Linked DNA regions of Arabidopsis thaliana. The gene in region 2 interacts genetically with the main gene of each other region. Each region holds a gene or a part of one and is shown on either strand. Other genes may lie near its edges. The genes, in order: AGP6 and AT2G42940.

Region 1 (3,796 bases), on a different chromosome or scaffold from region 2:
TCTATAAATGTTGCTTCTCTGCTTTTGTATTTGTAGGTACGATTACTCCGGGTATGGACAATCTACTGGAAAGGTTTGTCATTTTGAGAATCGACAAGTAGAGATATCGATAATGATTTTACCCGATTCGAGTGAAAAACTAAATAACCGAACTTGTTTTCGTGTGACTGCAGCCAAGTGAGCACCATACATATGCTGATATCGAAGCTGCTTATAAATGTCTTGAGGAAACCTATGGAGCAAAACAGGAAGACATAATCCTTTATGGCCAATCCGTTGGAAGTGGACCTACATTAGATCTTGCTGCTCGGTTGCCTCAATTAAGAGCTGCTGTTCTCCATAGCCCGATTCTTTCTGGTCTAAGAGTAATGTATCCAGTGAAGAAGACATACTGGTTCGACATCTTCAAGGTATTAAATACATCATTCTTAGATGGATCATTTTCGATTTTCTTGCTTTCCTCTATCTTTTTCACAGTGTCCACTTTTAACAATATTTGCAGAATATCGACAAAATACCTCTTGTGAATTGCCCGGTTCTCGTCATTCACGTGAGTTCCATATTCATTTTACTCTCTTTTCCTTTTTTTCAGTTCGAAAACTGAGTGTATATAACTCTTTGTGGTTCTTCTCTTGTGGCAGGGAACTTGTGATGAAGTTGTTGACTGTTCTCATGGAAAACAACTATGGGAACTCTCTAAAGAGAAATATGAACCGCTTTGGCTCGAAGGCGGTAACCACTGTGATCTAGAACACTATCCTGAATACATTAAACACCTTAAGAAGTTCATCACAACCGTAGAGAGAGATCTCTCCTCGAGGGCGAGCACGGCCCAATTAGAGAAACAGAGCAGCGATTTGGAAATGCCGAGGCAGAGCGTAGATAGAAGAGAGAAGCCGAGGCAAAGCGTTGATAAAAGGGAGAAAGAGAAACCTCCAAAGGGTCCTTCAAAGAAGAGTAAGCTGAGAATCACGTTCGAGCAGCACTTAGATCGGACTAGGAGAAGCGTTGACTTCCACGAAAAGGCAAGGAAGAGCGTTGACCATCATCAGCATCATCAGAATCATCATCAGATTGAGAGAGGAAGGAAGAGTGTTGATAGATTGGATAGAGTACGGTCTGAGTAAACCGGAGAAAATCTACCACACGTACATAAGTTGTTACAGAACAAGAACATTTGATCTTGATCTTGATTGGCCATTCTAATGTTTATGGTTTTTTGTTTTGATTTGTGAGTTATTCTCTAGTTTTATTTGGGTGTGTCATTTCTTGAATGGTGAAGCTTAAATCTTAAGCAAACAAATGAGAGAAATTAGGTCTTTACAATAACCTGCTACGTAATTTATTTGACCCAACTTTTACTCGTAATATCATGCTTGGTTTATGACTCGAGTCTTGAAGAGTAGAAAAGGAAGAAAATTCGAACATTGCAAATAAAATAAAGAGGAATTAAAAACTGCACTGCACATCAAACGATGATGACAAAAAAATGATGCATATAACACAAACAAAAAGATAGAATTAAAGAGAAGTTGTCTGTTTTCTAGCTCTGTCAGAACATTAACAAATGTCTTCGAAACCGTAAGCCCCAGAAAACTTCACCATGCAGAAGTTTGTATGTTTTGGACCTTTGGTAATGACTTGTGTGTCAGTTGTGTCTTCATATTGGGGTTTTAATTTGGGCTTAGTTCGAAAGTACAGTAAACTCTTTAAGATTGCCCAAAATGTATTTTGAGACTCTAATTCTAATTTTCTGCAATACAATCAATGAATCAAACAAAAGTCAAAATCTCAGTCTCAGCTACTAATATTAGTATTCAAAAAAAAAAAAATTGTGTACGAATCCATAAATAGAAGAATTGGTTTCTAGTCCTGTTTAATTTTAAAGTACTTTCTAAAAGTAGATTATAAGATTCATCGTTTCTCTCATATCCATCAATTTCCCTAATTTTTCTCATCTTCAAAAACATATAAATTCACACCCCCATGTCTTATTCTTACATCCTAAAGCTTTTGCAGTATTTCTCCATAGAATAAGAAAAATAAAACAAAAATAAATAAATAAAAAATACTGCTTTAGCTTTTGGAGTATCCTCCTTTTAATCTCAATAAAAAAACTATTAAAACAGAAAAAAAAATGGCACGTCAATTTGTCGTTTTGGTTCTATTGACTTTAACTATCGCCACCGCTTTCGCCGCCGACGCTCCCTCAGCTTCTCCCAAAAAATCTCCATCACCCACTGCCGCACCAACCAAGGCTCCGACTGCCACAACCAAGGCTCCTTCAGCTCCAACCAAGGCTCCAGCCGCCGCACCTAAATCATCTTCGGCCTCTTCTCCAAAAGCATCTTCTCCGGCTGCCGAAGGACCCGTCCCCGAGGATGACTACTCTGCCTCTAGTCCTAGCGACTCTGCTGAGGCACCTACCGTCTCCTCCCCACCGGCTCCCACCCCCGACAGCACTTCCGCCGCTGATGGACCAAGCGATGGACCCACTGCAGAGTCACCCAAGAGTGGTGCCGTGACAACTGCTAAGTTCTCTGTTGTCGGCACAGTCGCCACCGTCGGCTTCTTCTTCTTTTCTTTCTAAGTTAAGTCGTCCACGTTTTGGTTGGATGGATCAGAGATTTGTATAATCTTTTGAGTTGAGGCCGTAAATTTATTTTATATATACGTTTATAAATCGAGATTAATTGGAGTAAATATAAACCTAAATGTCATTTTGAAATTTGGTTAGAACAAATTTTCATATTTTGTTTAATAAACTTATTTTTTTTGGAAATGCTTATGATTTGTGTGGTCTAATGGTCTTTTAGTTCCTATTGTCATGTGTTGTGAATTAGATATCATGAATGATATAAATGGATATTTCTACATTTTTATTTTAAAATTTTGTTGGCTAATACTAAATTGTGTACTATTTATAATATTCATGATAAAGGCTATTACACATTTTTAATCAAGTTAATAAATTTAGGATGCTTTAATGTACTAACCTCTTTTGGTGCCAAAGTCAGCCAATGTGTAAATACAAGCTTAGAAACATATTTAAATATTTCATAGAAAATATTTAAATTTTGGAAATATTTGTTTGTGTGTTTTTTGACTGATTATTAAAAAAAGTTATGTAAAAATTTAAATTAATAGATAAGTTGTACTCCATCCGTCTTAATTTAGTTGTCGTTCTAGCACTAAAATATTGTTTTGTAATAATTGTCTTTTTTTTTTTTAAATGTAAATGTTTGGTACAAATTTTAATTATATACTTATTATTTAAATATTTTAACTAATAAAAAATTAGAAAATATATTAAGTAGATAAAATTAAATAAATATTTTTTTATAATTGCTGTGCAAAAACTTTAGAGGATAATTATTTTAAAACAGAGAATATTATAAACTATTTCTATTATTATCTTGTTTCAAAAATAAAAATAAAAATTTCGTAGTTAAATTAAAACATCTTAGAGAGAATGTGAAATCAAATAAATCAGTATATTATCGTATGGCATTTTTACAATTAAAAAATAAAGCAAAAAATATTATAATAAAAAATATAAAAAGAACAAAAACGTTAAAATAATATAATTAATCTTTGAGCCGAAACAAAAAATAATTAGTCAATGGAGGTAGGACCCGTAAGAATTGCTCTTTTTCCCATTCGCTCTGATTGGTTCCTTCTCTCTCCCAAACCTTTTCTTTTTTTTTTTGTTTCCTCTTCAGCTTTTCTTTTTGGCCAACGTCAGGTTTCTTAAATGGGCTCATTCGTAACTCCAAATTTTGCGTAGGTTTTAAGT
Region 2 (3,643 bases):
GGAATCTTTCAAAGAAACTTCATCGAGAATGTTGGTTTGGAAACGCACAGCACAAGTTATTGATCCAAATCCAGAAAAGTTTGGAAGTTTGTGCTTGAAGGTTAGTTTATCATTCGATGTCAGTTTTAATGTGTTTGTGATTTATCTACTAAGTTTTCCGTGAGGTGCAAGGAGAAAACTTTCACATATTTTCGTCTTCACTGGCTAGATATAAGTACATAACGATTAGCTTCAGCATCACCAAACATGTTATTCTACCCACAGAAGTACTGATTTTAATTCAAGGTAGTTAGATAATGAAATAGGGATTTAGGGAAATAGGCTATGATGTTTAAGGTGATAGACGTACTAATGTTTTTGGCATTGCTCATGAAAGTACCCAATCATAAACATGAGAAACCGCGTTTATTTCCTTAATCCCCAGATATCTGAAACGTCAAGAGTTTGTATCTTGTTAGTGAAACCCTCAAAAATCCTCTAGAGATTTACAGATTATATAACATGTTGAAACTGGGATGAGAGTGGAGTAAAATCAGAAGTTGGTTGCTAGCTCAGTTTCCTAAATAATTGCTGGAACGGTGCAACTGCAATTGGTATCACACAGGTAAAGAGAAATCACCAGTTTGTATGATTCTTCACATGTTCTGCTATTAATGGCCAACATTCACTTTGGATCAAGGATAAAAATATTGTAATATTTTCGTATTAAATTAGAGGATTGTGCTTAAAATTCATAATCATTTACTTTTGCTTTTTTCAGTTTTTTCTTTTTACTGTTGCAGGTACAAACTACAAAGGGAGATAAGCTTCAGTTTCTTAACCAGACTTACGGTTCTCTCTCAACCTACAGACACATTTATCTTTGATTCCAAGGTAAATGAGATAATAAGATTAAGGCATTTGATATGATGAAACGTGGAGATTAGAGCAGTAGTATTAAGGTTTCGACATGACACGCTGCGCAGGCCCCCAAGAGTAGATATCAGAAGCCGAGTTTCCATTAGTGAGCAGATTTTGAGGCAGTCCATGAATGTCATCTAAAGGACGGGATCTTCCATTCTGGTAGTACTGCTGGTTCTGCATAGAGGCAGCTTCATCATCATCCATAGGAAGACGATCAAAAACAGCATTCATGAAAGATGCAGCCATGAGAACAACAGGACCAGATGCGATTAGCCCACCAACCACTCCTCCACCAACAACCTGTCCTTGAGGTCCGGCTAAGTAAATGGTCAGACCAGTTATTCCAAGTGGTGCTGGTGGAGGCAAGATTGATCCAAGCAATGAGAGGATCTCGTAACGTCCGTGTAATGTGACAATTGCTCCTGATGAAGCTGGTTGCCTTAATGTCACATTGGTGACACAACCATTGGCACTGAGAATGCAGAGACCTCTCTGTTTCCTTCTTGCAAAATCCGATAAAGTCTCACAGATGTCACAACCTGAGCTGATCTCAACGGCGTTAGCTCTGAGGGAATTTGGACTGTCGTGAGTCACAATGATTGGTGGTTTGGGTTTGTTCTTGGAGCCAGCGGGTCTGCCACGTGGCCTCTTAGCCATCTCTCCTTCGATTGATGAAACCGGTTGGACGGCTTTGGGTAATGCTCTCAGGTTGTTGTTGGTGTTGCCTCTCTCTGTTGCTTCATGGTTCCTCATTGGAACAGACTTGGATCCTACAGAGGTTGGAGTTAGAGCTGTACCTCCAGCCATTGTTATGAATGTTGTTATATGTTCAACTGAAAGATTCAGAAAATTTGTGAGGAGTTTGTGAGTTTAAGTAAGGAGATTTTGGTGAATTATTAAATGGTAGAGACACCAAAAGAATGATTGTGAGGAGTAGGAGATGGTTAAGTTGTCACCAAAAATTGTGATTAATAGTTAACAAATTTATTTTGCAAAAAAAGAAAAAAAAGAAAAGTTTCTGGCAGCCTACTTCTCAACAGATGATTAAGTATTTGATTCATGACAATTGTCTTCTTTAACAGAGAGATTCATAATAATGCTTAAACATCTTGTAGCTATTTACAACCAAATTTATACCCTTTTTGGGACCAAAACTAAAATCAAATACTGATCGAGAGTTGAGAAACAACAAAAAATGAGAGTCGTCCACTGCTCTGTATTTTATCGCCTTCCATACTCGACTCTTATTGGGCTTTTAAATTGGTCCTACAGAGAAGGTCCAATAAGGCCCAAAATATGTAAATGTACACGTGTGGTTGGTTCTTAGCCTTGACTTGTCGTCCTCGACCTGTGCCACATTCATCTCTCTCTCTCAGTCAAATTGTTGTTTTCTTTCTTCGAATCGGTGCAGAAAATTCAGGGAAGTTCTGGGGAAGGTTGTTGCGTTTGACTCCTTTGGCTTAGTTTTCTTTCGAATTCCGTGCTTCCTGATGATCTTACGTGAAATTGCAGCCTAAAATTTCGAGATTGTTTTTTTTACTCAGAAAACGAGATTTGACTGATATGAATCGAAAATCTGTGATTTAAAGTGAAGCATGAATGCGAATCACAAGAACGGGAATCCAGGTTACCATAATCTCTGGACCAATGGACTTATCTGTGCTTTCGAGTTTTGTCAAGGTCGTCGTAAGAATAACACAAGTGTCCATGGAGATTCGTCTCTCAGAATGTATGATGATTGTTACTAACTTGTTGATACATATTAGTGCTTAGTCTCTTTTTTTCTTTTTCTTGTAGAGTGTTTTTTTAAACAGTGTTGTTGTTGTTGTGATAGAAAGAAACAGGAATGTGAAACAGATCAATTTGGTACTGGTGAAGACGAAGAACATTCTAGGAGTTATTGGCGAGGAATTGGATGGGATAGGATCTCTGAGCTTGTTCAGACTGTTCAAGTTGATAATAATTGGGATTTGCGAAAGATTGACTTAGATGAGGATGAAGCCACTGTTGCTGAGCTTGCTGCTCCTTACTGGGAACGACCACTTGCTGGTCCAACTTGGTGGTGTCATCTTGATGCTACCCATCATGGTATTGCCTCGTGGTTACGTAATGCGCATTGGTTACATCCCGCGGTCAGTCTTGCTCTGCGGGACGAAAGCAAACTGATTAGTGAACGAATGAAACATATTTTCTATGAGGTAACAAAAATCTGAGTTATGTTGCTTCTTTGTAATGTGAGCTGTGCTATGATTCTATAGCTGAAATTTGTTAATATGTTGGTGGATAGGTGCCTGTCAGAGTTGCTGGTGGGTTGCTGTTTGAGCTGTTGGGACAATCAGCGGGTGATCCTTTCATCCAAGAAGATGACATACCTATTGTCTTAAGGTCTTGGCAAGCACAGAATTTTCTGGTGACTGCATTGCACGTTAAAGGCTTTGCCTTGAACATTAGTGTCTTAGGTATTACTGAAGTCCAGGTTTGTTCTTCTTATTTGAATCATTGTTTTCCTTTACTCGTTGATCAATTAGTCAAAACTGGTTTTCAGTCTTCTGGGGTTCCTTCTGTCTTACCAGGAAATGCTTATTGCTGGTGGAGCCTGCATTCCGAGAACCGTTCATGAACTAATAGCACATCTTGCATGCCGCCTTGCACGCTGGGATGATAGGTATTTCCCTTCCCTTGAATCTAGATTAAGTTGTGAAAAAAGTTGTATATATTGGGGAAGTTTAGTATTCATTAT

The links.
Region 1: of AT2G42940 (region 2) and AGP6, changing one enhances a phenotype caused by changing the other (phenotypic enhancement), as found in Arabidopsis thaliana (one study listed by BioGRID).

Annotation. Positions count from the first base shown.
Region 1 is NC_003076.8:4,634,882-4,638,677, reverse strand, and holds AGP6 (arabinogalactan protein 6), read left to right. Parts: upstream 1-2,001; 5' UTR 2,002-2,137; coding exon 2,138-2,590; 3' UTR 2,591-3,034; downstream 3,035-3,796. Other genes in the region: AT5G14390 (alpha/beta-Hydrolases superfamily protein), read left to right, coding at 37-73, 174-410, 503-550, 642-1,127. UniProt on the Arabidopsis thaliana protein: Proteoglycan that seems to be implicated in diverse developmental roles such as differentiation, cell-cell recognition, embryogenesis and programmed cell death. Plays an important role during the formation of the nexine layer of the pollen wall.
Region 2 is NC_003071.7:17,861,561-17,865,203, forward strand, and holds AT2G42940 (Putative AT-hook DNA-binding family protein), read right to left. Parts: upstream 1,897-3,643; 5' UTR 1,711-1,896; coding exon 937-1,710; 3' UTR 694-936; downstream 1-693. Other genes in the region: AT2G42950 (Magnesium transporter CorA-like family protein), read left to right, coding at 2,499-2,632, 2,738-3,101, 3,191-3,379, 3,477-3,568. UniProt on the Arabidopsis thaliana protein: Transcription factor that specifically binds AT-rich DNA sequences related to the nuclear matrix attachment regions (MARs).